Linked DNA regions of Tribolium castaneum. Each later gene encodes a partner of the first gene's protein in a complex. Links are inferred from orthologs where the notes say so. Each region holds a gene or a part of one and is shown in the gene's direction. Other genes may lie near its edges. The genes, in order: U5 small nuclear ribonucleoprotein 40 kDa protein, Usp39, U4/U6.U5 tri-snRNP-associated protein 1, SmE, pre-mRNA-splicing factor RBM22, SmD1 and Prp8.

The links.
Region 2: U5 small nuclear ribonucleoprotein 40 kDa protein (region 1) and Usp39 share a complex: the UniProt entries of both Homo sapiens proteins name them as parts of the U4/U6-U5 tri-snRNP complex. The link is inferred for Tribolium castaneum from reciprocal best matches to the Homo sapiens genes SNRNP40 and USP39.
Region 3: U5 small nuclear ribonucleoprotein 40 kDa protein (region 1) and U4/U6.U5 tri-snRNP-associated protein 1 share a complex: the UniProt entries of both Homo sapiens proteins name them as parts of the U4/U6-U5 tri-snRNP complex. The link is inferred for Tribolium castaneum from reciprocal best matches to the Homo sapiens genes SNRNP40 and SART1.
Region 4: U5 small nuclear ribonucleoprotein 40 kDa protein (region 1) and SmE share a complex: the UniProt entries of both Homo sapiens proteins name them as parts of the U4/U6-U5 tri-snRNP complex. The link is inferred for Tribolium castaneum from reciprocal best matches to the Homo sapiens genes SNRNP40 and SNRPE.
Region 5: U5 small nuclear ribonucleoprotein 40 kDa protein (region 1) and pre-mRNA-splicing factor RBM22 share a complex: the UniProt entries of both Homo sapiens proteins name them as parts of the postcatalytic spliceosome P complex. The link is inferred for Tribolium castaneum from reciprocal best matches to the Homo sapiens genes SNRNP40 and RBM22.
Region 6: U5 small nuclear ribonucleoprotein 40 kDa protein (region 1) and SmD1 share a complex: the UniProt entries of both Homo sapiens proteins name them as parts of the U4/U6-U5 tri-snRNP complex. The link is inferred for Tribolium castaneum from reciprocal best matches to the Homo sapiens genes SNRNP40 and SNRPD1.
Region 7: U5 small nuclear ribonucleoprotein 40 kDa protein (region 1) and Prp8 share a complex: the UniProt entries of both Homo sapiens proteins name them as parts of the U4/U6-U5 tri-snRNP complex. The link is inferred for Tribolium castaneum from reciprocal best matches to the Homo sapiens genes SNRNP40 and PRPF8.

The regions. Positions count from the first base shown.
Region 1 is NC_087399.1:11,299,474-11,303,567, reverse strand, and holds the start of U5 small nuclear ribonucleoprotein 40 kDa protein, read left to right. Parts: upstream 1-1,294; 5' UTR 1,295-1,392; coding exon 1,393-1,503; intron 1,504-1,551; coding exon 1,552-1,681; intron 1,682-4,094. UniProt on the Homo sapiens protein: Required for pre-mRNA splicing as component of the activated spliceosome. Component of the U5 small nuclear ribonucleoprotein (snRNP) complex and the U4/U6-U5 tri-snRNP complex, building blocks of the spliceosome.
Region 2 is NC_087394.1:36,569,871-36,574,170, reverse strand, and holds Usp39 (ubiquitin carboxyl-terminal hydrolase 39), read left to right. Parts: upstream 1-1,500; 5' UTR 1,501-1,644; coding exon 1,645-1,720; intron 1,721-1,767; coding exon 1,768-1,806; intron 1,807-1,857; coding exon 1,858-2,118; intron 2,119-2,428; exon of another isoform or gene 2,429-2,672; intron 2,673-3,133; coding exon 3,134-4,263; 3' UTR 4,264-4,293; downstream 4,294-4,300. Other genes in the region: facilitated trehalose transporter Tret1, read left to right, coding at 104-1,473.
Region 3 is NC_087395.1:24,229,694-24,233,764, forward strand, and holds U4/U6.U5 tri-snRNP-associated protein 1, read left to right. Parts: upstream 1-1,271; coding exon 1,272-1,449; intron 1,450-1,496; coding exon 1,497-2,143; intron 2,144-2,195; coding exon 2,196-3,563; 3' UTR 3,564-3,877; downstream 3,878-4,071. Other genes in the region: APC7 (anaphase-promoting complex subunit 7), read right to left, coding at 1-1,013, 1,061-1,129. UniProt on the Homo sapiens protein: Plays a role in mRNA splicing as a component of the U4/U6-U5 tri-snRNP, one of the building blocks of the spliceosome. May also bind to DNA.
Region 4 is NC_087394.1:32,141,537-32,143,967, forward strand, and holds SmE (probable small nuclear ribonucleoprotein E), read left to right. Parts: upstream 1-1,280; 5' UTR 1,281-1,497; coding exon 1,498-1,782; 3' UTR 1,783-1,931; downstream 1,932-2,431. Other genes in the region: kelch-like protein 21, read left to right, coding at 2,051-2,184, 2,234-2,393. UniProt on the Homo sapiens protein: Plays a role in pre-mRNA splicing as a core component of the spliceosomal U1, U2, U4 and U5 small nuclear ribonucleoproteins (snRNPs), the building blocks of the spliceosome.
Region 5 is NC_087399.1:5,882,269-5,886,025, reverse strand, and holds pre-mRNA-splicing factor RBM22, read left to right. Parts: upstream 1-1,441; 5' UTR 1,442-1,577; coding exon 1,578-1,631; intron 1,632-1,680; coding exon 1,681-1,734; intron 1,735-1,790; coding exon 1,791-2,054; intron 2,055-2,311; coding exon 2,312-3,202; 3' UTR 3,203-3,257; downstream 3,258-3,757. Other genes in the region: flr (actin-interacting protein 1), read right to left, coding at 1-185, 424-752, 808-898, 951-1,072, 1,181-1,196; thioredoxin domain-containing protein 11, read left to right, coding at 3,537-3,757. UniProt on the Homo sapiens protein: Required for pre-mRNA splicing as component of the activated spliceosome. Involved in the first step of pre-mRNA splicing.
Region 6 is NC_087394.1:7,020,357-7,022,971, reverse strand, and holds SmD1 (probable small nuclear ribonucleoprotein Sm D1), read left to right. Parts: upstream 1-1,384; 5' UTR 1,385-1,525; coding exon 1,526-1,539; intron 1,540-1,642; coding exon 1,643-1,994; 3' UTR 1,995-2,115; downstream 2,116-2,615. UniProt on the Homo sapiens protein: Plays a role in pre-mRNA splicing as a core component of the spliceosomal U1, U2, U4 and U5 small nuclear ribonucleoproteins (snRNPs), the building blocks of the spliceosome.
Region 7 is NC_087394.1:7,718,291-7,721,790, reverse strand, and holds part of Prp8 (pre-mRNA-processing-splicing factor 8), read left to right. Parts: intron 1-749; coding exon 750-1,343; intron 1,344-1,402; coding exon 1,403-1,528; intron 1,529-3,500. UniProt on the Homo sapiens protein: Plays a role in pre-mRNA splicing as core component of precatalytic, catalytic and postcatalytic spliceosomal complexes, both of the predominant U2-type spliceosome and the minor U12-type spliceosome.

The DNA.
Region 1 (4,094 bases):
CTAACACATGCATTTTACAGAATATGGAAATTACGCAAACTTTGATGGAATGCCGCAAATATTTATCCACTTTGCGTGTCGCAAAGTTTAATGTTTGAGCACTTATTTTAAATATTTTTATTAGATTAGTTGCATCACACTCTCCGTAGGCACGGAAGTAAATATTTTAAGTAAAAATTAATTAAAATGAGTTATAAAAACAGGATATACATATTCTGGAAGAAACGTACGTAAATATTTGCAAATGTTTAGGCAATTTTTTTGGCATGCAATCAGTGTTTTAAGTTTTTTCTGTAATATCGTCTAAGAGGAAGAAATCATTAATCAATGTCGGTCTGTTAACAAAATTCTACGTTTAAAAAAGGCACAGATAACATAATTTTCCAACAAATTTGGGATTTTCGATTAATGATTTTTAGTGTCATTTTAAGAGTTTTTTTACAAACTGATTTATTTTAGAGTTTAAATGAGTTCAAAAATTGAGCAAAATAAACCAAAGTCAAGTCAATTTTTAGTTAATTTAAGGATTTTCACGGTGTTTTTTCACGAAAAAAAGTGCTAAAATATTAAATAAACATCTGAAAATAGACAAATAACATTATTTTTAACACGATTTAACAACCTTTTGGATTGTTTTGCCAAAATTACACAAAAAACATTAGTATCTAGTATCTAATTTTGATCAAGTTTGCTGATTTTTAAGTTTCTTCTGACAGAATTTAAGAAAATATGTAGTTTTTAAGTCGAAACTTTACTGAATCAAACAAAGCAGACTATAATAACGACTATAATTTGGAAGATATCATTCTTATCAATCTATTTTAGTAAAATTACGCAAAAAAGATGTTTGTAGTTTGAAAATGAGCCTAAACTCCGGGGGTTCCTCCTAAACTTAGGAGATGAAACAAGATATAAAATTACAGGAGTTTCTAATCCCAAAAAATTAGTACGACACACTAAAAATGATGGCGCAATAATGCAACAGTCTTATGGGGTTGTACCTCAAATATTTGCCAAGAGAAACTTAATTGTGTTTCAGTGTTGCAAATTACTAACAAAAATCTGTTAGTACCGGGAAAATACTGACAATTTTAGAGCAAAAAAGTAATAAGAATTACGCAAAGTGAGTTAAGTGAGCTAATATTAATCGTTTTCGAAATTTTGGCAAGTAAAAAACCAAATAATTTTTAGATATCGACATTGGGAAACCATTTCATTGTTGTCAAACATTTATTCCAAAGGAGATAACTATTTGTTTTATATAATTGAAACAGGGTATACAATCAAATCGTACTTCGTGCTCTCCACCAGAGGGCGCTTATCGCTTCGTTTTGTTGACGCTAAAAAGTGAGGTTATTGTTTTCCTCCCAATTTTTGTTTAAAACACCAAAAATGGTTGTTGAGAAACGTCGAGCCGAAGATTCATCATCTCTAGTCCCCGTAAGCAAAAAATCGAAAAATGAAGTGGCCACATCGAACAAAAACAAATCGGTCTTACAAGCGGTTAGTAACACTTAACCTCAAAAACCCTCCTCAAATCATGTATTTCAGGCCCCTGCGAGAACTTCCAATCTATTTGCCCCCATTATGTTACTGGAGGGCCACGAGGGTGAGATTTTCACAGTGGAATTCCACCCTGAGGGTCAATATGTAGCTTCATCAGGTTTCGACCGTAGAATTTGTAAGTTGTTTTTTTTGCAATGAGGTTCAGCCAAATAGGTCTTCATATCAAAATTTTGGAGGATTTACTTGAATATCTAATATAGTAATTTGAAGTACATAGAGGGTGTCTTAAAATTAACGCCCGTGCGTTGGGAATTTGATTCAGGGGGTTAACATAATTCGAAAGTTAAGAGTAAAAAATTTTCAATTGTTATTGATAAAAATGTAAATAATAAGCTTAAAGCTGTTTTTCCAATTGTTTGTGCAACATAATTCATCAGTTGATGTTAGCAGGGCTGAGCCATGCCAATTGGCCGCCTGTGTGCAGGTTCCAATAGTAGTTAAAAATTACCAAGTTAAATAAATGGAAGCAAATGTTCATTTTTAAAATATTCTGAACTAGTTTATTTATTCAAAAATAAAACTATTTGTAACAAGAATATTTTTAAATTTTGTACAGGTACATTAGCTGTTAAAAATAATTTGATAACTACAGTTCATTCTTTTTTATAATTAACTGTCAGTGTCAAAATTTTGATAAAGACCAGACTGTATCACACCAAAATCTCATGTCTAATCACTTTCGAAACTAGCTGTATTCTGTATTTGACATTTTACACACCAGATTTGACATTCGGGACAATTTTTGCAGCCAATGAAATTTGAATTCGTTAGTCTTTAGAATTTGTTAGCCTTTTAAAAAAATGTGTTGTGCGTGTTGTAACTTAAAGACCATTAAATTAAATTTGCCAGGTAAAAATTAGTACCATCTTAGTAAAAATTACTATTTATGGTAATACTAACCTGACGGCTCTTTGACAGTTGATTATAAAAAAAATCGACTATATGTATACACGAATTGTTATTGCTTTGTTTTATCAGGGGTGCATGTTTTTTATTTTTGTTTTTTAACTAATATGAAAACAACCTAAAAACAAAAAAATAAGGAAAAACAAACAATCGTTCTTATAAAATAAAGCCAAAACAGAAAAATAAAGCCCTTGTGTAAAATTATTCATAACTTTTTTACCTCTTTCATTTTTTTATTCTTTTTGTTTTTTGATTTTTTGCTCCATTTGTTTGAATTTTATTATACAGCGTGCTCAAAAACTGGCGCACCAACTCATTGGTGTGTGGTAGAGAACTGGTTACATATAAAGGTAAAAATAGTAAAAAATTCTTTGTATTAAAGTTATTGATAAATAACGGATTTTGGATAAATGATATGTGGCAACGTTGTCTAACAGTCATGATCGCAACAGAAGTTGAGCAAGAATAAAAATAAATTATTTTTGAAACGGTTTCCTAGGAAATAATTGCCAGTGTTGGCACATTTACACATTGCGATTTTTTGGATGAATTTTAATTTTTTTAAATTAAAAAAACTGCTAAAATCTGATAGTAAATTTGAAAATAATTATTCATCGTTTTGTTACGGAACGATTACTTGGTATGAAACATAAATACATAAAAAAAATAATGAAAACTAAAGAAGTTAACACAATAAGTTTGTAGCTCCAGATTTTTCAAAATATGACTTTAGGAATTTTTTAAACATTTTTCCCGTAATCTGCACTTGCTTCTCAATAATGTACCACTGAGTTGGTGCGCCAGTTTTTGAGCACCCTATATTTATCAGAAATATGAAGGAGTGTAGTACTAAAATAGTAAACAAAAAAGTTGGTGGCTATTTAAAATGTTATTTTAACATGTCTTTTCTCAATAACTGGATGTCAAAGACTAGCGTTTCTAAAAATAAAATTGATTTGTGTATTGAAAAAAATAAGCCATAACTAAGATATAAATTTTATGTGTTATATTAAGTTTACTCTGTAGAATAATTGGACAGAAAATTTTATGGTTTCATTCTAGAATTTTTTAATTTTCTAGTCCGTATAAATGACTACTATTTAGTCATTTGCTAAGTAAAATGTTGACATTGCGTGGTAAAATAATCTAAATGCTGAGTGGTAATTATTTATCTATTTTTAGCGATATTTGGCCAACCAGTTTTGCAAGTTATTTGTGCGTTAGGTATTTTACAGGGTTCAATTTTTGTATTAAAGCCCTCAACTTCGTTTCGAGCTTCAATATTAAAACTTCACGCTGTAAAATTTTACCTACTACAGGTAAATTGTAAATAACTATTACTAGAAAGGCTATCATTCCCTAAATTTATGCGTGTAAGTTAAGACTCACCCTATATACGTCTGAACTTATATTCATTTAGGGATCTTCTCCAAAAAGGTTTCTAACTTTATTCAGAAGGAACATATGAGGATGTAAATAAAGAAAATTATCAATTATAGTTTTTCGAAAAATTTTATTTTTTTATAATAAAGGCAATACCAAATTCAAAAACGTCTTCCGCATTCAATTCAACAGAAAATTTTATGATTTTATTCTGTTTTTTTAAGTTGTACAATCATTTC
Region 2 (4,300 bases), on another chromosome or scaffold:
CTGGTTGAACCTTCGCTTCTACCTGAACCAGAAACCCCTAAAAACTTAACGACCTGAATCCAATCCTTACAAAATCGAGAAACTCACTTTCGCTTCCTCGCAGGCACTTTGGCCATCGTCACCGACGGCATGATCTACGGCTGGTCGTCCCCCAGCCTCCCCCAGCTCAAAAACAACGAGACTTGCACCTTGTGCATTGACGAAAACCAGGGCTCCAACCTGGCCGTCATGCCCCTGGTGGGGGCGGTCATCGGCTCGCTCACCGCCGCCACCATCGTCGACATCCTGGGCCGCAAACGCACCATCCTTGCCACCGCCGTCCCCTTCTTCCTCTCCTGGATAATGGTGGCTTTCGCCCCCAGCATCGTCCTCCTCTACATCGCGCGTTTAATCGCCGGCATCGCCGACGGCGTCACCTTCACCGTCGTCCCCATGTACATCGGCGAGATCGCCGACCCCCAGGTGCGAGGGATGCTCGGCTCCAGCTGCTCCGTGACCTGGATCGCCGGTTTTCTCATCATAAATGTGATAGGGTCGTACCTTAGTATTAAAACCACGGCACTTGTGTCCTCAATTGTGCCGGCAATCCTATTTATTACATTCTTGTGGATGCCGGAAAGTCCGTACTATTTGTTAATGCGTGGGAGGGCGGACGAGGCCCGGAAATCACTAGAACGCCTCAAAAAACGCGAAAATGTCTCCGGGGATTTGAACCGAATCCGGAACGCAATCCAGGCTGAGGAAAAGTCGCACAATGGGAAATTCGTCGACTTGTTCCGGGTGAAGAGCAACCGGAAGGCCGTTTTCATCATCGGGGGGCTCCGGGGCTTCCAGCAATTGGCGGGGACCACGGCTATTGCCTTCTACACCCATGAGATTTTCCAAACTGCTGGGGACCACATTTCCGCACATTACGCTGTGATGATTTACTACTCCATCCAGTTGCTCCTCACAATGTTCTCCTCGAGTATTGTGGATAAGGCCGGTCGAAGACCACTGTTGATCATCTCAATGGCGGGGTCGGCGTTAGCCCTTTTTGTCGAAGGGACCTATTTTTATCTTTTGAACGAAACGGACATTGATACGAGCTCATTTTCGATCGTGGCCGTTGTGGGGCTTCTAGCTTTTGTGATAATTTTCAGTTTAGGGATGCAGTCAATCCCGATTTGTATGTTAGGGGAGTTGTTTCCCACAAATGTGAAAGCTTTTGCGCTTTGTTTGGCCGATGTTTACTTCAGTGTGATGGCCACAGTGGCCTCCAAGTACTTACAAATAACTAAAGTAGAATACGGACTACATGTCTCGTTTTACGGTTTCGGGATTTGTTCGCTACTTGGACTAGTTTTTATTTATTTCTTTGTGCCTGAAACGAAAGGAAAAACCCTCGAAGACATCCAGAAAAAACTGAGAGGGGAAGTCGAAGTTTGTGATGAACGAGGCGCCGAAGAAGAGAAAGTTAGTCTCAAAGCGTAATTTTATTGAATAAAGTACTTATTTTTTTACAATTTCGAATTTTATTGCATAACCAGATTGACATTATTATTGACACCGTTGACAGTAAATATAACCTTAAAGTTGCAAACACCACACAAAAACAGTCCTAGCGTGATTTAATCAAAAATTAATTAAAAAAGCGTGAATACGATGGAAGCGGACGATGAACCTGCCATGAAAAAGCCCAAGTTCGAGGAGCCCCAAGCCAAATCAAACTCCTCACAACGTAAGTACACATAACCTCGAAAACGCAACTGAAACGTTCAATTTTAGCCGAAATTGAGCCCCCTTCTGACAATTCGGACCGGAAAGGTACAAAAATCAATCGATTAAAGCGCCCTGTTCTATTATTGTCTATTCCAGGTGGGAAGCCCCAAACGCATCGACTGTGCCCCTATTTGGACACAATCAACCGGCAATATCTCGACTTTGATTTCGAAAAATTGTGCTCAGTGTCGTTGACTCGCATCAACGTTTATGCCTGTCTTGTTTGCGGAAAATATTTCCAAGGTAGAGGCACAAACACACATGCTTATACGCATTCGGTGGCCGAAGGCCACCACGTTTTCCTCAACTTGCACACCTTGAAGTTTTACTGCTTGCCCGACAATTATGAAATAATAGGTAATAAATACTCTCAATTGTAGTTTTGAAATTAAGTTGGCAACATTTTTCTTCAAATTTCAACAATTTTACCCAACTCACTTGATTCGAGCTGAAGTTTTACACCGAATTAGATTAAATCGTTTCAATAACGCGAATGTTTGAGAGGGCGCAATGCCAGTAACGCCCCCCTTCAAAAATAAAGTGAAATCTTCGTTTTGTCGCATTTTTCCGATTGGCATTTTATTGAATATCGTTTTGTATGCGTTTTCAACCGAAACTAACTCGAATTAAACCGAGTAATCGTGGAAAAAATACAAAAATGACTAACCTTAGCGTCGTCTAACTGAATTTTTTCAAAACCGGCTTCCAGCTTGCTGCTAACACACTTTGATAGTCTACACACGTCACATTTCCGATAAAAAGTCGATTTGAGTCGTTTTTGCCACTTAACACGCACAAAACACCGGTTTTTCAACACGCAAAAGCAAAAGGACGCGCACTTCGGCAGACAAGCTTCACTCTAACGCTGATGTCACGCCAACGGCACCTCATTGGCTGATTTGAAAATGACACTTGAGCGCGCGTGATTTGAAATTCGCGCGAAGTCTTCAATTGGGAGACTTTTTACAAAGATTAGGATTTATACGTTTTTACAATGTCATAATTCACGAATTTTGTAAAATAAATGCCTGTTTAGCTCAAAAACATGCATAATGGCTTAAAAAAAAAGGAAAAATGAGATAATTTGTGGCCTGATTTGGTAATTTTGCGGCTTGTTTGGCATTTCTGCCTGAAATAACAAGTTGGGATCTTCGGAAAAGACAAACATTATGTAATTATTGAATCCGTTTGGTGGTTTTTCGGTTAATTTTTGTGTTTTTTGTCTATTTTCGATAATCGTGTTGTCAATTTCTGAATTGAAAAAAGCAAATACTAGGAAATGTTCGGGGAAGTATTCGGTTTCAGTAATCAGTGTTGCCACTTAATTTCAAGCTCCAACGATTTTTTTCTAACAAAATTAAATTACTCACAGATTCGTCCCTCGACGACATTAAATACCTGCTCAACCCCACATTTACCGAACAACACATCAGTACATTGGACGTTAGCACAAAAATGTCCCGAGCAATTGATGGCCTACTTTACATGCCAGGAATCGTCGGTTTAAACAACATAAAAGCGAACGATTACTGTAATGTTGTTTTACAAGCCCTTTCACGTGTTGTCCCTTTACGTAATTACTTCCTCCGTGAGGAGAACTACAGCAAGATAAAACGCCCCCCAGGTGACTCCTCTTACCTCCTGGTGCAACGTTACGGTGAACTGATGCGTAAATTATGGAACCCCCGAAATTTCAAAGCCCACGTTTCGCCGCACGAAATGCTCCAAGCTGTGGTTTTGTGGAGCAAAAAGCGCTTCCAAATTACGGCACAAGGCGACCCCATTGATTTCCTTTCGTGGTTTTTGAACGCACTTCATCGGGCACTTAACGGCAATAAAAAGAAAAACAGTTCCATCATTTACCAGTCATTCCTCGGAAACATGAAAATTTACACCAGGAAAATACCACCGACCGAGCTTGACGACAGACAGAAACGCATGCTTTTGTCAACTCCAGAGTACCAGGAGATCATCACCGAGTCACCCTTCTTGTACCTCACCTGCGACTTGCCTCCACCGCCTCTCTTCATCGACGAGTTCCGGGAGAATATCATCCCCCAGGTGAACTTGTACCAGCTCCTCACCAAGTTCAACGGACAGACCGAGAAGGAGTACAAGACTTACAAGGAGAATTTCCTCAAGAAGTTTGAGATTACGCGTTTGCCGCCTTATTTAATCTTGTATATTAAGAGGTTTACGAAGAACACGTTCTACGTGGAGAAGAATCCAACCATTGTGAATTTTCCGGTTAGGAATGTTGATTTTGGCGAGTTTTTGACGCCCGAAGTTAAGGCCAAACATAAACATACGGTCTATGATCTAGTGGCGAATATTGTGCATGATGGAGAGCCGGGGAAAGGCACTTACAGGGTTCATATTTTGCAAAAATCAACGGGCAAGTGGTACGAGATGCAGGACTTGCATGTGACGGATATTTTGCCGCAGATGATTACGCTGACGGAGGCTTATATACAAATTTATGAGCTAAGATTAGAAAAGTAATTTTTTACGAATAAAATTCTATCACCGGAATTTTTGT
Region 3 (4,071 bases), on another chromosome or scaffold:
ATCGCTTCCGTGCAATGCTGGGCGGCATCCTGGTACTTGCTGAGCTCCACCAGCGTCTTGGCTTTCAGCAGCAACGCCTCTATGTTTTTGGGCGAGGCACAAAGCGCCTGCTGTGCGAAATAAACGGCTTTTTCGTGCCGTCTCGTCGAAAACATCAGATTGCCAATGACCACCCAATGCTCACTCGTCCACAGCGACATATCCGAGGTCGGGATCAAATCCTCCAAATACTCAACGTGTTCGGAAGTCCCCGAGCTCGCCAAAAGCGTGGCCAGTAAATCGCGACCAAAGACTAGGTTCTGGTCGAGTTTAATCGCCCGCTGGAGGACTGCAATCGCCGTCTCGTCCTCACACATGTAGTGGTAGCAGTAGCCCAGGTTGACCAGCAGCGACGTGTTGTCTTTGAGTAGACCGTGGCTGTCCATGCTTTTGTACGTTTGGGCGGCGTTTTCGAAGTCGCGCGAGTACAACTGGGCTTGTGCTTTGAGCCAGAGGTTTAGCCAGTTTAGTTCGGAAGTTGCCTCCACCATTAGTGCGTTGACTTCGACCCCTTTCACCCCCAGCTTGAGCAAGTTCTCCACGGCTTCGAGGGCCAGCGGGCACTCCCGGAGCACCTCCTTGTAGCACGTTATGGCCGAGCGCTCCATCCCGGCCTCCCTGTACAAGTTGCCGAGCGCCATGTTGACTTTGGGGGTCCGCAGGCGGGCCTGAATCGACTGCAGCATCTCGATGGCCCCATTCACCTGCTTCAGGGCCATGCAGCACTTGTGTATCTTGAACCTGATCTCCACATCGCTGGCCAGTTCGGGCTGACTCTCCGTGATTTTATTAGACATTGACTTGGTTTTTAAGAGGTGTTTGCGGAGCTGTAAGGCCTGGCGGTACAAACTCTCGCTTTGGGCGAACTGTTGCGTCTCGTACAGCGAATCGGCGTACAGCAACATCACCTGGAACTTCTGCAAAGGGGGCAAAAAGTCGGGCTTTTGCTCGGACGCCGACAGGGCCAAGTCGCACTAAAAGCACAGTTGGGGGCTCAGACTCCCAAAAGGGGGCTACAAACCACTCGGGAGATGTTCGAGTGCAGGGCAAGCTCGTACATCGCCTGCAATTGCTTCAATAAGTTGGTCATCTTGGCTTGGCAAATGTGGGGTTAGGTTTTTGAACTCGGCAAATCCCGTAACGGCGAAACCACCAATCCGGATTTCGCGCACGTCAAAACGTTGCATTGACGTTGTGTACGGTAGGTATTTCCTTCAAATTTTGTAAAAAGGATGGGTTCTAGTAGCAAAAAATACAAAGAAAAAGAGAAAGAGTCTCGTAAGCGGCGCCACCACAGCCCCGGCTACACCGACGAGCATGAGCCCCCGAAGGAGAAGCGCCACCGCCACAAGAGGCACCACAGGGACAAGAAGCGCGACGCGAGGGCGAAGCACGACTACGACAGCGACGGTAAGCACCCCGCGTCCAACTTTCCCGTTTGAATGATTTTTTGCCAGGATCCGACGTGATCGAGGTGATTCCGGACGATGAGCCTTCGGGCTCCGGGCAAAACGCTGAGAGTCTCTCGATTGAGGAAACGAACAAACTGCGGGCGAAGCTCGGCCTGAAGCCGCTCGATGTGAGTTCGGGGGACAAGTCCGAGAAGAAACGGGATGACGGGAAGAAGAAGGACGATTGGGGCGAGTTTTACCACAAGCCGGCGGAGAATTGGGCGGATAAGCACGAGAGGGAGAAGCTGAAGGGCAAATTGACAACGATTCGGGAAAAGCGCCAGCTGGAGAATAAGCTGGGCAAGGTGAAGCTGCTGGGGGACAGTGATAGTGATGATAATGTGGAGTCGTGGGTTGATAAGAACCGCAAGATTGAATTGGCCAAGAAGGAGGCTGAGAAAAGGGCGAAAATGTTGGAGGAGTTGGATGAGCAGTTTGGGGTCAGCGAGTTTGTGGAGAATGAGAAGAAGGAGAAGAGGAAGCAGAGATACACTGAGAGGAATTTGAAAGGGCTGAGGGTGGAGCATGATGTTGATAGCTTTGCTGAGGAAAGGGATGTTATCTTGACGCTGCAAGACAAGGGCGTCTTGGATGAAGACAAGGAGGATGTCCTGGTCAATGTCAACATGGTTGAGGACGAGAGATACAAAAAGGTAATTTGTTACAAATATTTACAGTGAATGATTATTTATCATCAAATTTCAGAACGTTATAAACAAGAAGAAGAAGATTTTGTATAACGCCTACGAAGACCAGGAGTACGACGAGTTTGGCAACCCCAAAGAAAAGTCGCTTTTGGCCCAATACGACGAAACAATCGACGGCGAAAAACGCGAAAGCTTCAAAATCGGTTACGACAATGCGGTTGAACGTAAACAAGCAATCGTGCAATCAATTAAGGAAAAACTCGCCAAAAAAAGAATCGAATCGATTGAAACAAAAGATTTAAAACTCGCATCGGAATATTACAACGACGAGGAACTGTCCAAATTTAAAAAACCCAAAAAGAAAGTCCGCAAAATCCGAACTAAGGGAAAACTGACCGCTGATGAATTGGAGCAACAAATTAACAACAAAGGCATCGAGGAAGTCGGCTCAAGACGCCCAAAGAAAGAGCTCGAAGACTTGACCATTGACGACATCCCCGAAATGGAATACCCCACGGACGTCAAACTCGAGGACGAGAAGGACGATCTCTTGGAAAAAGCGCTGCACAAGACACGCAAAATCAAACAGAAGGAGAACCTCGTTGCTGAGATTGTTAAATCAACGCCGGTTAAAAGCGAAAGTGAGGAAAACCTGGAGGGGAGTATTGTTCTGAACGCCACGGCGGAGTTTTGCCGCACTTTGGGCGACATCCCAACGTACGGCAAGTCCGGCAACCGCGAGGAAACCGAAGATTTGATCGATTTCGAGCGTGATCTGAAAGACGAGCCCGAAATGGACGAAGTCGAGCAGGAGGAGAAAACCGGCTGGAATTCAGTCGATCCAAACGAGCCGCACGAAAGCCCGCAAATTGCCCCACAAGAGGTGCAAATCCTCGACGAAGAGCCTGATGTCAGTACAGGGCTTGGGGCAGCTTTGAAGCTTGCAATGAGCAAGGGGTACCTGGACAAGGAGCAGAATAAGAGGCCGTCGAATTCGCGGTTAGCGCATTTGCAAGCCAAGCATTACTCTATCGAGGACAAGACCTACGGGGATGAGGGCGATCGCGCGAACCGCCGGGAGAGGTACACTGGCCCCATTATGGAGTTTAAGGAGAAGGATGGGTTTAAGCCCAATGTTAAGTTGGAGTATATCGACGATGATGGGCACGTGTTGAACTCGAAGGAGGCCTTCAGGTATCTCTCGCATAAGTTCCACGGGAAAGGGCCGGGGAAAAATAAGATCGAGAAGAGGATAAAGAAGGGCGTGCAGGAGCAGTTGATGAAGAAGATGAGTTCGACGGATACGCCCTTAGGGACTTTGAATATGCTGCAAGCGAAGCAGAAGGAGACGCAGTCGCCGTATGTGGTCTTGTCGGGGAACAAGCAGAGCCAGCAAACGGCGGTTATTTCCAAAAGTCGGCGTTAAGTAAAATGACTAAGAATAAATAAATACTATAATTTTGTGTGAACAAAATTCAGCGCTACTCTAAAAAGAAGTGGCAATTTTAAATTAAGGAAAACTGGGCATCATTGTAAATTGTATAAATTGTTTCATTTTTATCAGTTTTTATTTACAAAGTCCTAACGAAAAGTGTTACGAAATGTTTTTGTTTTGTAGATCGTTTTTAAGGGACGGGTACGATAATGATAATGGTTTTATGAATAAGTTTTAAAGTCTGGCTCCCTACGAGTACAAACGGTGTAATAATTTTTGCGATAAATGAAATGAATTAAAAGTGAGTTCCGTGTTTTAATTAGAAATTACCAATTTCCCATATTTTCCAACAAAACGGTAATAAAGGAAAATATTGAACAGAAAGTTATAGTTAATTAAAAAAATAAATGGTTGATGACCAGCTCTCGACGTGACCTTTCACGTCACTTCCGTGAGCACCATTATCAGTCATGATTAGGATAGGGATTGCACGGTAATC
Region 4 (2,431 bases), on another chromosome or scaffold:
CTATGCACAGATTTCATATAAATGATCCTTTGGTCCTTTGGGATCGGCTAGGGCTCATTAACATCAATTTTGTATCGTTTTGGCATTAATTTTGAGATTTTTCTCGCCTAATTCTAGTTTTTGGGGCTATTAAGACTCAAACAACACTTTACACTTCATCACAGTTTGGAAAATATAAATAATATAAATAAAAATAATCTCCGGTGCAAATAAAAAAATTAAGGTTCAAAGAGGTTTTGGGCCGCAAAGGTGTAGCACTTACCTTACCCAAATTGAAAAATGTGTCTTTTGAGCCGGTTTTTCCCCGAGTATTCTCCATAAACACAGTCAAGGGGCAGGTCGTTGTGCGCATCGCGCCAGGTCACAGTCTGCGCGCCCGCACTTTCAAATTCACAAATATTCCACAAAAACAGGTGCCCCACTTTGCATTTTTGAACCACCCAGTCCAAATAATCACTAGTTTCGTTCGATTTTCTGAGAGATAACAACACTGACTGACAATCACGCGATGACAACTGTTAAAAGCAGCATCCATTTGGTGCAAAGTCAAAGCACTCTTGGCAATTTTTTCTTAAGTGTGATTTCAGGCATTTATCTAACTTTTTGAGCAAAATAACCCTTCCTATTCAGTAAAGAGTTGATTTAAATGTCGTTTCACATCTTTATATCGAGTTTATAGCTTGTCGTTTTTTTCTTTAAAGTCACGTAAAATTATCCCGCCAAAACCAAAATTGTGTCATTAAGGGTAACAATGACAAAGAAAGACCTATTGACGATTGTGTGTGTGTAAGACACGGCGCAACTCCTCATATTAGCTATTTCAAAACTATAAAAACGCCAACCTCGTATTTTCTCTCAAAATTAGTTGTTATAAATTATTTATGCACTTCAAAAAACTAATAGGTAATGTTATTTATAGTCTCAATGATTTATTTATTAATAACTATTTTACATTTTTATCAACCTTATTAAAAAAAAATTGAGTTTATGAGACACCAAGTTCAAAAAAAATATATAAAAAACTATCACGTCAAAGAAAGCTAAATGAGAATAAAAAAAATTTTTTTCGAGACATTTACGCCCATCTGATGATAATTATGGAATAACTCAGCTTGATTAGTTAAGGAAAACCCAAAATATAAATTGTGCGACTATAATTCTGCGTGAATAATTTTGGAAAAAAAATGGGACGTTGGTGTTTTTATAGTTTCGAAACAGCCTAAAAACGACCAAACCACCAGACCTTTTTCTGGTGTATTTCAGCTCGTCAAGCTTCCCGCGTTCCACGATTGCCAACAGAATACAGAACTCACACAGATAACCTTACTTTGGTCGTATTGTAAGCGTCGCCTCATTTTTTAAGTTTTATAAATACTATTGCAAACTTTGAACAAGTTTTTTTCTCTTAATACGAATAATTCGTGCTGTGTGAAAGTGTGTTTGCACTTAGCTTCCTTAAAGAACTTTTTTTGCCGGTAACCCAAGACTCCTCTAACCATGGCGTACAAACCACAAAAAGTTCAAAAAGTGATGGTACAACCCATCAACTTAATTTTTCGTTACTTACAAAACCGTTCACGTGTACAAGTGTGGTTATACGAGAACATTAATCTGAGAATCGAGGGGCACATTGTGGGTTTTGATGAATACATGAATCTTGTGCTGGATGATGCTGAGGAATATTACGTTAAAACGAAGAACAGGAGGCAGCTGGGAAGAATCATGCTTAAAGGAGATAACATAACGCTGATACAGAACGTGAATCCTCAATCAGGCAATTAGTTGTAAATTGTAGCGTAATTCTAAGTTTCATAACAATTTTTTCATTCGTTGGAGTAATGTGTTTGTATGAAAACCGCAATTGGTCTTAGTATTAAGTGATTCATCAACTTTCTGTAAAAGAAATGCGGACATTAAAATTATTTTAGTAATTATGTCTATTTTTATAACTTCAAAGTCCTTAAAATTAAAATGTGATGGACAATACAGGTAATTATCGCTTTTTTAGAATTGTGAAGCTTGTAGGTGTTCCAATATATTTTTTTTGTAGGGGGTAAAGCTGCGACAGGTTTTGTCGAACGTTGCGTCAGCTACATTGGCGAAAATGCTGTAGAATGTGTAAAAACAAACTCATTTCTTTCTCTTCCCAAAGAAGCAGTCTTAAAATTAATCTCCTCAGATTATGTAAGTTTTAAAATTTTACTTAAAATCATTTATTACTGTTTCAATTTAGCTCTGTTTGGAGGAAGAGGATGTCTGGAGAGCAATTTTAAACTGGGCAAAGTACCAAGCTGGTGTCACCCAACCCACAGCCCATTGGACTGAAGAAGAGAGGGCCAGAGTGTGCCAGCACCTCTCACATGTCATTTCTCACGTCCGCTTACTTCTGATTGGTAAATTAAATTTTTTTTTTCTCTTATTTATTTGTAAT
Region 5 (3,757 bases), about 5.4 Mb from region 1:
AATTGTTTACCGTCGGGACTCCAACTAACCCCATACACGCCCCCGCTGTGGGCGGGGCTTCCCACTTCCCCCACCAAATCGGAGGACGTACCATCGTACAGAAACACCTTACCATCGAACCCAGCCGAGGCAAATAAATTACCGGTGGGTGAATAACGAACGGCTTGCACAAACCTGCTGTGCTCCTGTAAAAAACAATCACGTGACGTTGACCAAAATCATAGCCACCTATGGTTACTTTATGAACAGGTATTTCCCCCCAAATTAGTTTTCGTCAAGGACATTTCGATTATCACGCAATAAAAAAAAAGGTAAATTGGGTCAAAAAAATGTGAAATTGCGTTAAAAGTGGTGTTGGTTTGTCAGTTCAAAGCTAGTGTATTTAATTTTGTGGGTTGGCGACACGAGTCGTGGCCTCCTTACCTGCTTGGTCATTTTGAACTTAAACGGGGGCCCCTCGAAAACCGCAATGGTGTTGTCTTCAGACCCCGTGATGATTCTGAAAGGTCTCGTGGGTTTGAAATCGCAGGAATTGATGGGTTTTGATTGGCCTGAGATTTCGCCAACGGAAGTTCCCGTTTCGGACATGAAAACATGACCGAAGCGTTCGCGGCCTTCGCCAACCACGACCATTCGTTGGTTATCAGGGGACCAAGCGATATCTTTGATGGGCCCCCCGATTGGGTGAAACTCATTTTTAAGGATGTGCTCCTTGTTGACTGTGTCCCAGATTCTGACTTTGCCCGATTGGTCTAGAAATAAAACCAGTTTGTTTTAATTTTCGGGGGCTCCAGTGTGTTGATTTACCTCCAGAGGCGATGTAGAAGCCGCTAGGGGAGTACTTGGCGACGTTTACCGGACAGGAATGTTCCGTGTAGACGTCGGCAATTGCAGGGTTCTGTAACAAACCAATTGGAGTGGGTTTCTAAGGGAGGAAAGGTTTTTTTTACTTGGATGTTGCGAATGATCACGGAATTGCCATTGGTGTAGAGAAAGTTCTTGCCTTTGGGATCCCCGCCCAACACCAGGGGCTGTCCTCGTTGGGTCCGCGGCAAAGTCGCGTAAATACTCTCTGGAAAAGATAAGATAAATTCCATTTCAAAATTAAACCAACCGGAATTACACGGGGTGGCTTGATTATCGCAACCTGTCAAATGAAACAAAAAACGGTCACACTTACTTGATGCAAATGACATTTTCCTGTTTTTTTTATGTGAAAAATGATCCGGTTTGCCGGAAATGGTAAGAATCCTCAAGTGGAACACGGAGATATTGTAGTAGAAAAGTTTACACTACGTGTTGGCAGTTTACGAGAAATTCTCTTGGCACACGCACTGGTTATGAACACTTGGCAAATAATTTTATTTCACAAATTTCGCAAAACCTATTTATCTAGCGGTTATGTTTGCCATAAAAGGATATAAATGGATCACCTCTCGCCCCAAAACGCCTGCGCCACGTCCCCTCCCATACACAGGTTGGCAGCACTGAGTCACGTCAAGTAACTATCAATAAAGCTTGTTTTTAGTTTTCGTATAATTTGAGCAAAACCCGAGCATAAATGGTGTGAAACTGCAATGGCAACGTCAAAAACAACAAACACATACAATCGGCAAAACTGGGAGGATGCGGTAAGTCCTAAACTGGAACTAGTGTAAATCTGATTTAACCTCACTTTAGGACTTCCCGATTTTGTGTCAAACCTGTCTGGGGGACAACCCTTATATTCGCATGGTTTGTATCTCCTGGGCCACAACTCTCCCTGATTTATTCAATAAATGTGATTTCAGACTAAAGAAAAATATGGCAAGGAGTGTAAAATCTGTGCGCGCCCTTTCACAGTGTTTCGGTGGTGTCCTGGGGCTCGTATGCGTTTCAAAAAGACAGAAGTTTGCCAGACTTGTAGCAAGTTGAAGAACGTGTGTCAGACGTGTCTCCTGGACTTGGAGTACGGCCTCCCTATACAGGTCCGGGACGCTGCCCTCAAACTCAAGGATGATCTCCCCAAGAGCGACGTTAATAAGGAATATTATATCCAGAATATGGAGCGCGAGGTTTGTTTTATTATATTTTGCGTCCACGAAGGCAGTTGAGTGCTTTAAAGAGCTTAGTGTTTTTTTATGTGGTAATGTTGCCTCCATGACTCACATCAGCCTTGCCAAATCAAAAAAAAACAAATTCACCACATCCACACCCAGATTTACCCTCTAGATTTGATTTAAATATTTCCGGTTCAGGCTTTTTTAAGCAAATAACATTGACTTTGTAAAAAGCCATTCAATTATCTGAATTTCGACCTCTTATTTTGCAGTTGCAACGGTCGGATACTGGCGTTTTGTCGAATAAGTTGAACGAACCGAATGACTTGCTAATGCGTTTGGCGCGAACAGCCCCCTACTACAAACGAAACAGGCCCCACGTATGTTCATTTTGGGTGAAAGGGGAGTGCAGAAGAGGCGAGGAGTGTCCTTACAGACACGAGAAGCCAACAGATCCTGAAGACCCCCTTGCTGATCAAAACATAAAAGACCGCTACTACGGCGTGAACGACCCTGTTGCTGATAAATTATTGAAAAGAGCGGCAGCCATGCCTGCATTACCGCCCCCTGAAGACAAAACCATCACAACTCTATACATCGGCAATCTTGGTACTCTCACCGAACAAGACATCAGGGACCACTTCTACCAATACGGGGAGATCCGCTCTGTTAGTTTAGTCCCTAAACAGCAATGCGCCTTCGTCCAGTACACGACCAGAGCAGCCGCTGAAACGGCCGCCGAAAAAACCTTCAATAAGTTGATTTTGGGCGGCCGCCGACTTACCATCAAATGGGGGCGGTCTCAAGGACGCGCGGGCCCCGCGATTAACCCGGGACTTGAGGCCTATGAACCTGTGCCAGGCCTTCCGGGGGCTCTGCCTGAATTGAGTAATAATTTCTTTAATCTCGAACCGGGACACATTCCATTGCCGAATATGCCGCCACCGCCGTCTCTCATCGTTCCGCCGATGTTCGGCCCCCCGCCCATGCCCCCATTTTTCTTTAATCCGCCCCAGTTGTCGGCGTATGTCCCCACAGCGGCTTCGAGCAGCACTGTGACGAGTGAGGCGACAGGGGGGCCCTCCAAAAGCACAGTGCATTATCCCAGCCAGGATCCGGCCAGGCTGGGAGCCACGCAGTTGCATGCAGATAGGCAGGAGTAGGTCTTAGGTCTTATGAGGTGTACAATTTTTTATCAATAAAAAATTATGACCAGTGTTTTGTGTTTTTTCTTATTCCCCGTTACTCATTGGAAGGAAAAATTTGTGAGGATAATTAATAATAATAATTGTTTGGTTAAGTTGGGGGGTGACAGCTGTCATTGCACATTCGCAGTTGGTGGACTTCGTGCGACAGCGTGACAGCTGACGTGTGCTGACACGATGTCAAATTTCGTAAAATTTCGATTTTTCACCTAACCAAAGAGCAAAATTCTCCGAATCCGCGGCAAGTTTACGTGAAATCGAGCAAGGTTCAATGGTATGAGGTCAACTGGGTATGTCATCTCCGGTACAAGAGTCGGACTGTAACACCTCGCCAGCACCTGACCCAGGGACCACTCACAATAATGACCCCGACGTTGTCGCGACAGATTCAGATAGCGACACCGATAATCCCGAAGCGAGCGTGGCAGACCGTCCCACGTTAACCCTCAAAATGTTGAACTTGTGCAAAGAATTCCTGATCATGATTATCATCGCGGTGGCCTACGCTGCCCT
Region 6 (2,615 bases), on another chromosome or scaffold:
AGCAGGAACGGACAGTTTTAATATACCTACGAATTAAAAAATAAACTTGTAAATATTACAACTTACTTTTTTTAATCTAGTTTGTAACTAATTAGTTTAGCCAAGTGTTTTCACTGTTTTCACTGCTTGTTGCCACAAAAAATTAATAATTATTGAGTCACACTAATTTATTATTAATTTCATAATCCAATTTTATCCTTTTTTTTATTTAAATTTCATAATCGATCGTTCACTGGTAAATAACCACCTAGTCTTTTAACATAATTCAAAAAAGTAAAACTAGAAAATTTGTATCCAAAAATGACTTTTTGTAAATTTTTTGGGTAAAAATGGTTTTATTTAAGTAACATTTTAATAAAATTGTACTAATAAACTTGTACTTGCAACGTAGTCATTTGATAACTTAAAACTAACCGGAATTTTTCAGTTCTTTCGACAGAGGTCAGAGTTGCGACCGGACCCGAGATCTTGCGAAAATGATTATTACTAGTTTTGTGTTATCTATTCTAATATTGTAATAAATAACATAAATTAATCAGTAACAAGTGTTTTTCAAATACTTTAGGTAGGGGAGAGTGGGGTTATTATGTACAGTGAATAATTATGCCCAAATTTCTGTAGGTTAACCCTCTTATCCTATAATCTAATTTTGCCCATTATAATCGTGTCCACATAATTTCAGCAATTTTGAAGCCTCACTCAAAAACTGTCAAACTAAAAACGTATCTTTCTCATGTTATAGTTATAATTTAGGCGAAAACAAGTCAAAAATTACTTTTTTTAACTTTTCAGATAAGTATTTTCTAACTTCTTATTAACATATAATTTATATAATCGACCTAATCTTAAATTTTTCTCCGCAAAATGTATTCATACAGTGGAACCCCTGTCACCCGAACGGGGATAAACCGACTCCACCAATTATTTTGTTCAATTTCAAATTTTGAATTCGAAAAATTTTTATAACACGAATTTTTGTTTAATTAATTAATTAACTAAAAACACGCAACTAATAAAAATTAAGAACAAGAACACTAGATGCACTAGAGAGAGTTGAGATTTTTAAGGTAAACACTTTGTTGGATTAGTTAAAAAAATTGCTCATATTATAATAACAGGAATCACTTGAACTCAACAAAAGTATTATTCCACTGTATTCTACAAAGATGATTTGAAGTGGCAACGGCCTATTCGGGTGATCGAAGTTCGACTGTATAAAGCAAAATATTTCATTGTTACTACGTGCCAATAGCAAGGTTATTTTGATAATAGCTGTGATAATAGTAAATAATAAAGAATTGTTTTTATTTTCAGAGTCCATAATTATCTGCAAACCTATAAAAAAAATAACGATTTAAAATTGGCGCCACGTAAGTGGCGCTCCCTTCGCAAGTTTTCTTGCCATCTCTTTCTTATATGCTCATTCTCTTTCCCTCTATGGAAGAGGGGGGGTAAAAAAACGTAAGCCAAGCGTGTTTTGCCGGCATAATATAAAAATTGTCTTAATTACACCAAAAATATCAACATGAAATTAGTAAGGTGAGAACGTAAACTACTGATTGATCAGACACGTTTTTATTTCCTTGAATTCCAAGTAAAACTCCTGAAAAACCACCTAACCTAACATTTCGGCCATTTTCAGGTTTTTAATGAAACTGAGCCATGAAACGGTCACAATGGAGCTGAAAAACGGCACACAAGTCCATGGCACTATAACCGGTGTAGATGTGGCCATGAATACGCACTTAAAAGCTGTAAAAGTGACTGTAAAGAACCGAAATCCTGTGAACTTAGACACCCTAACAGTTAGAGGAAACAACATTCGTTACTACATTTTGCCCGATAGTTTACCCCTCGAGACTCTGCTGATTGACGACACCCCCAAAGCCAAGGCCAAGAAGAAGGAGAGCGCCCGGGGGGCTGCCAGAGGCCGCGGGAGGGGCCGTGGCAGAGGGGGCCCCCGAGGCAGGGGCAGAGGGAGAGGGCGTAGATAAGAATACGTTCATTAAATTAAGTTTCGTAATTGTAAGTGTGAATCTTTTCGTTTAGTTCCAGTATTTGTAAAACTTTTATAATTCTGCTAAATTCATCAATAAAACATATTTAGGTTTAAAATGTCTTTGTTATTAAAAATCGGGACCTTGTACTAAAATGTATAAAACGTAAACTGTGAAACAAACAAAACAGAAGGCGGCTACAAATGCGAATGATTTTCGATTGTGTCTGTGGAGTTGTGAAAGTTGGTTTTCGTTTGTGGTTAAAAGTTTGCGAACTTCTCGTAACTCTTTCTTCATGTCGGCTTTTTTCTCGTTGGGGATTTCATCAGATTCGATCTTTTTTTCTAAAAGTTGGACCCTCACGTAACAGGCTTTGATTGCTTCTTCTGTTTTTGTTATCTACAAATGGTTAAATGAGTTTGGTAAAATTAACGTTTTACTGATTACCTCCTTCATGACGGAACATTCTCCTAAAGATAGCCCCATTTTTCGGGTGGTCTTAAACACTGACTATCAATACAGAAACAGATGGACTATCACTTTATTTAACCTCAATTTTTTTTATATTAATAATTATTTTACAAATTTAGGAACATTCTCTTACTTTCAATACAAAAA
Region 7 (3,500 bases), on another chromosome or scaffold:
AAATTGCGTTTTTGAAAAGAATGTGTATTGATAAAATTTTAATGTTAAACAAAAAATACGTGTTTGATGACTTTACAAATCACTTTTTAAGTTTCATAATTTGTGGTTAATTTTCAGAACTATATTATGCAATTCTTAGAGAACTTGTACTTAAACTCGGTCTGTGTAATTTATATAAAAACTAATAAATACTTAAAAAATGTGACACAACTGAATTTATTTGAGATATCACAAGGGAGGTTCAGACCTTTGTCGATTTTGTAAGACGTCGACTTTACAAGTTGTGAAAAAATGTTAGTGAATTACAATAATAGAAATCTTAATACACCAGCGATAAATTGGGTGAGAATTATGAACTTAAATCCAGGAGTTTAATTGAATATTGAAACTTAACACTGTAGAATTAATAATTCCGAAGCTTAGCTAACTTAGATTCCGAAAGAAATAGCAAGCAGTAAAAATGTGTATCTGGCTAAATGTAAAAAAAGAAGCTTATGTCTCTAAAAAAATAGAAGGAAATCGCTCCATATATAACGACACAGTCAAATAATAGTTTAATAGTTTAGATTTTTTTTACAATTACAAAGTGTCTGAGACAAATTATTCTTTGCCACTTTGTACAGCTCTGTGACGTTCTTTTCCAAACAGTAGTCAGATCTTTGCTATTTTTTTTACTTTGAGTGCGTCTAAAGTAATTTTTTTCTTCAGTTGCATGATGTGACATAATTTTTGAATTTTCTTTTTACCAGCGCTTTAAAATACATGCCTCATGCCGTAATGAAGTTATTGGAAAACATGCCAATGCCTTGGGAACAAATAAGGGACGTTAAAGTTTTGTACCACATAACTGGTGCTATAACTTTTGTTAATGAAATTCCATGGGTGATTGAGCCCATTTACATAGCCCAGTGGGGAACAATGTGGATTATGATGCGACGTGAAAAACGCGATCGTCGTCATTTCAAGCGAATGCGATTTCCACCGTTCGATGACGAAGAACCGCCTCTAGATTATGCCGATAACGTGCTAGATGTTGAGCCACTTGAAGCCATTCAGATTGAATTGGACGCAGAGGAAGACGCCGAAGTTGCGAAATGGTTTTACGACCACAAACCATTAGTTGGTATGAAGTATGTGAATGGCCCAACGTACCGGAAATGGAATTTAACGCTACCTATGATGGCGACATTGTATCGTTTGGCAAACCAACTACTGACCGATTTAGTTGATAACAATTATTTTTATCTTTTTGATACCAAGAGTTTCTTTACGGCGAAAGCTTTAAATATGGCTATACCTGGAGGGCCTAAATTTGAACCGCTTATCAAGGATATGAATCCTGCGTAAGAATTTTTAATTTTAAGGTTTTTATTAAATATCTTACTGTTTATCATTATTGCAGGGACGAAGACTGGAATGAGTTTAACGATATCAATAAAATTATAATTAGGCAACCTATTAGGACCGAATATAGGATAGCGTTTCCATATTTGTACAACAACATGCCTCATTTTGTGCACTTGTCGTGGTATGTAATTTTTTCTTTTGCGTTTTTTTCACCCACATTAGTTTAGTATTCGTTCTTGAAGCATGGAACGGGTAAACTAGCAGTGTGGAAGATTAACTGTTGTGGTATGATATTCGTTTCATTGTAAAGTCTTCATGAAAATGCTGAAATATCACATACAATATTTTTCATTATTAATATTATTTTAACTACCAAGAATATCAAATAAAAACCTATTGGAGCCTCAAAAGGTTCTAATAAACGAACATAACTATAATAATACTGCCTAAATTTCGCAAAATTACACTAGGAATGCTTAAAGCGTGCTTGGATGAAAAAAACAGAAATTGAATTTTTAAAAAACTAATAAAATAGTTTCCGTATAATTGTTGTTTCTAAATTAAACTGTTACGTCCATAGGCAAGAAACTCAATAAATGATACACTTACCTTATGCAGCTTAAAATAAAAAAAATACTAGTTTTATTATTAAATTAAATTTAAAAAAATATATAAAAATAAAATCGATATTTTCGAAGATTTTTTTGTATATGAGTACTTCATTTGATCAAATAATCTATGTTAATATTTAAATATTGTTTTCTTTCATTCCATCAGTGTACTTTTAAATTTACGACCATATTATTAAAGTTGGTCAGTAGACCATTATTTTTAAGTGACTAATATTTTCATAGTACAAAATAGCAAGTGTACTGTGTCTTGGCTAGCCCAACGTATATCTAAATTAGACCTACGTTGGCTTAGGCAAGACACACTACGATATAATTCATTTTTAGTCGCTTTTTATAAGAAATCCAAAGTAAAAATAAAAACTAAAACTCTTTTTTTGTTTATAATTTATTTATAATTTTTTTATTTCTTCAACCCATGTTTTTATTTTCGTTGAGTGCCTCATACTTTTTCTTTTGACTTGTTTTCTATCTCTTCCATTTTATCCTTACTTTTTTCTTTACGACCTTTTTAAGTCTTTTCGTATTTTTCTTATTCCTCAATAGATCTCCGTGTCATTCACTTCTGTAATTTTTTCCTTAGTTCTTCTGCCTTCCTACTGTACGCTCGTTTTTTAAAGATTTTTAGGAATTGCTGTTTTCTGCTGCGCTACAGAAATTATGATTCGTAGTCTAGCATGACCACTTTTTGTTTTGTTTTAAAAAGTTACTTCTATTATTTATATTTTTTTCGTGCGATTTGAATGTTTAGTTTTTTTATAAAATGAGTTTTCAAATATCTATGAAAATGAGATAATAACTGACCTATGAAGTAATGGTTTAATTTAAGGACAACACTCACTTAAAGAGTTTACTTTCATACCAATTTGTAAATTGTAAATTCAACAAATACTTTAGGTTTGGTCATAAAGAAATTTGATGTAATATTTTTTCTATATTTTTTCTATATTTCTATATTTTTCCTAGAAAGAAAAGTCTTCACATTGCTCGTTTGGTTTTTTCTGTTTTCTTACCATTTAACTTTTTTTTTTTTCTTATCACAAACTTTTTTATATTGACACAGTGTAAAATTTTGAAATTAAGACGTTATAAAGGTTTAATAAAAAAAAGTTTGGTAGTCCGTTGGAGCACATAATTTAATTCTAGCTGCACACTTTTTTGGGATATGACAGTTTAAACTTTCTCTAGCAAAACACATTATATTATCACTCGCAAAACTGCACGAGAAAAATGTGTTGAGTCTTTTTATGAGACGTGAGTTCAGTTAAGAAACTTTTAAAAAATGTTTAAAAAGAGTGATGAGGAAGTGAAAATTTCGTCGAACAAAAAAAAAAGAGAGGAAAGAAGAATGTTGGGGTAAAAATAACAGAAACTTTTTAAAGACCACAGGAAGAAGTTGCGGTGAAAAAAAAAATAGTCTTAGACGAAAAAGTGCATGAGAAAAAATTTACCTCACGAGTAAAGATAAAGTTGAAGTTGATAAGACAAAAAAAGCCAATTAACGAAAATAAAGAGAATCTGAAT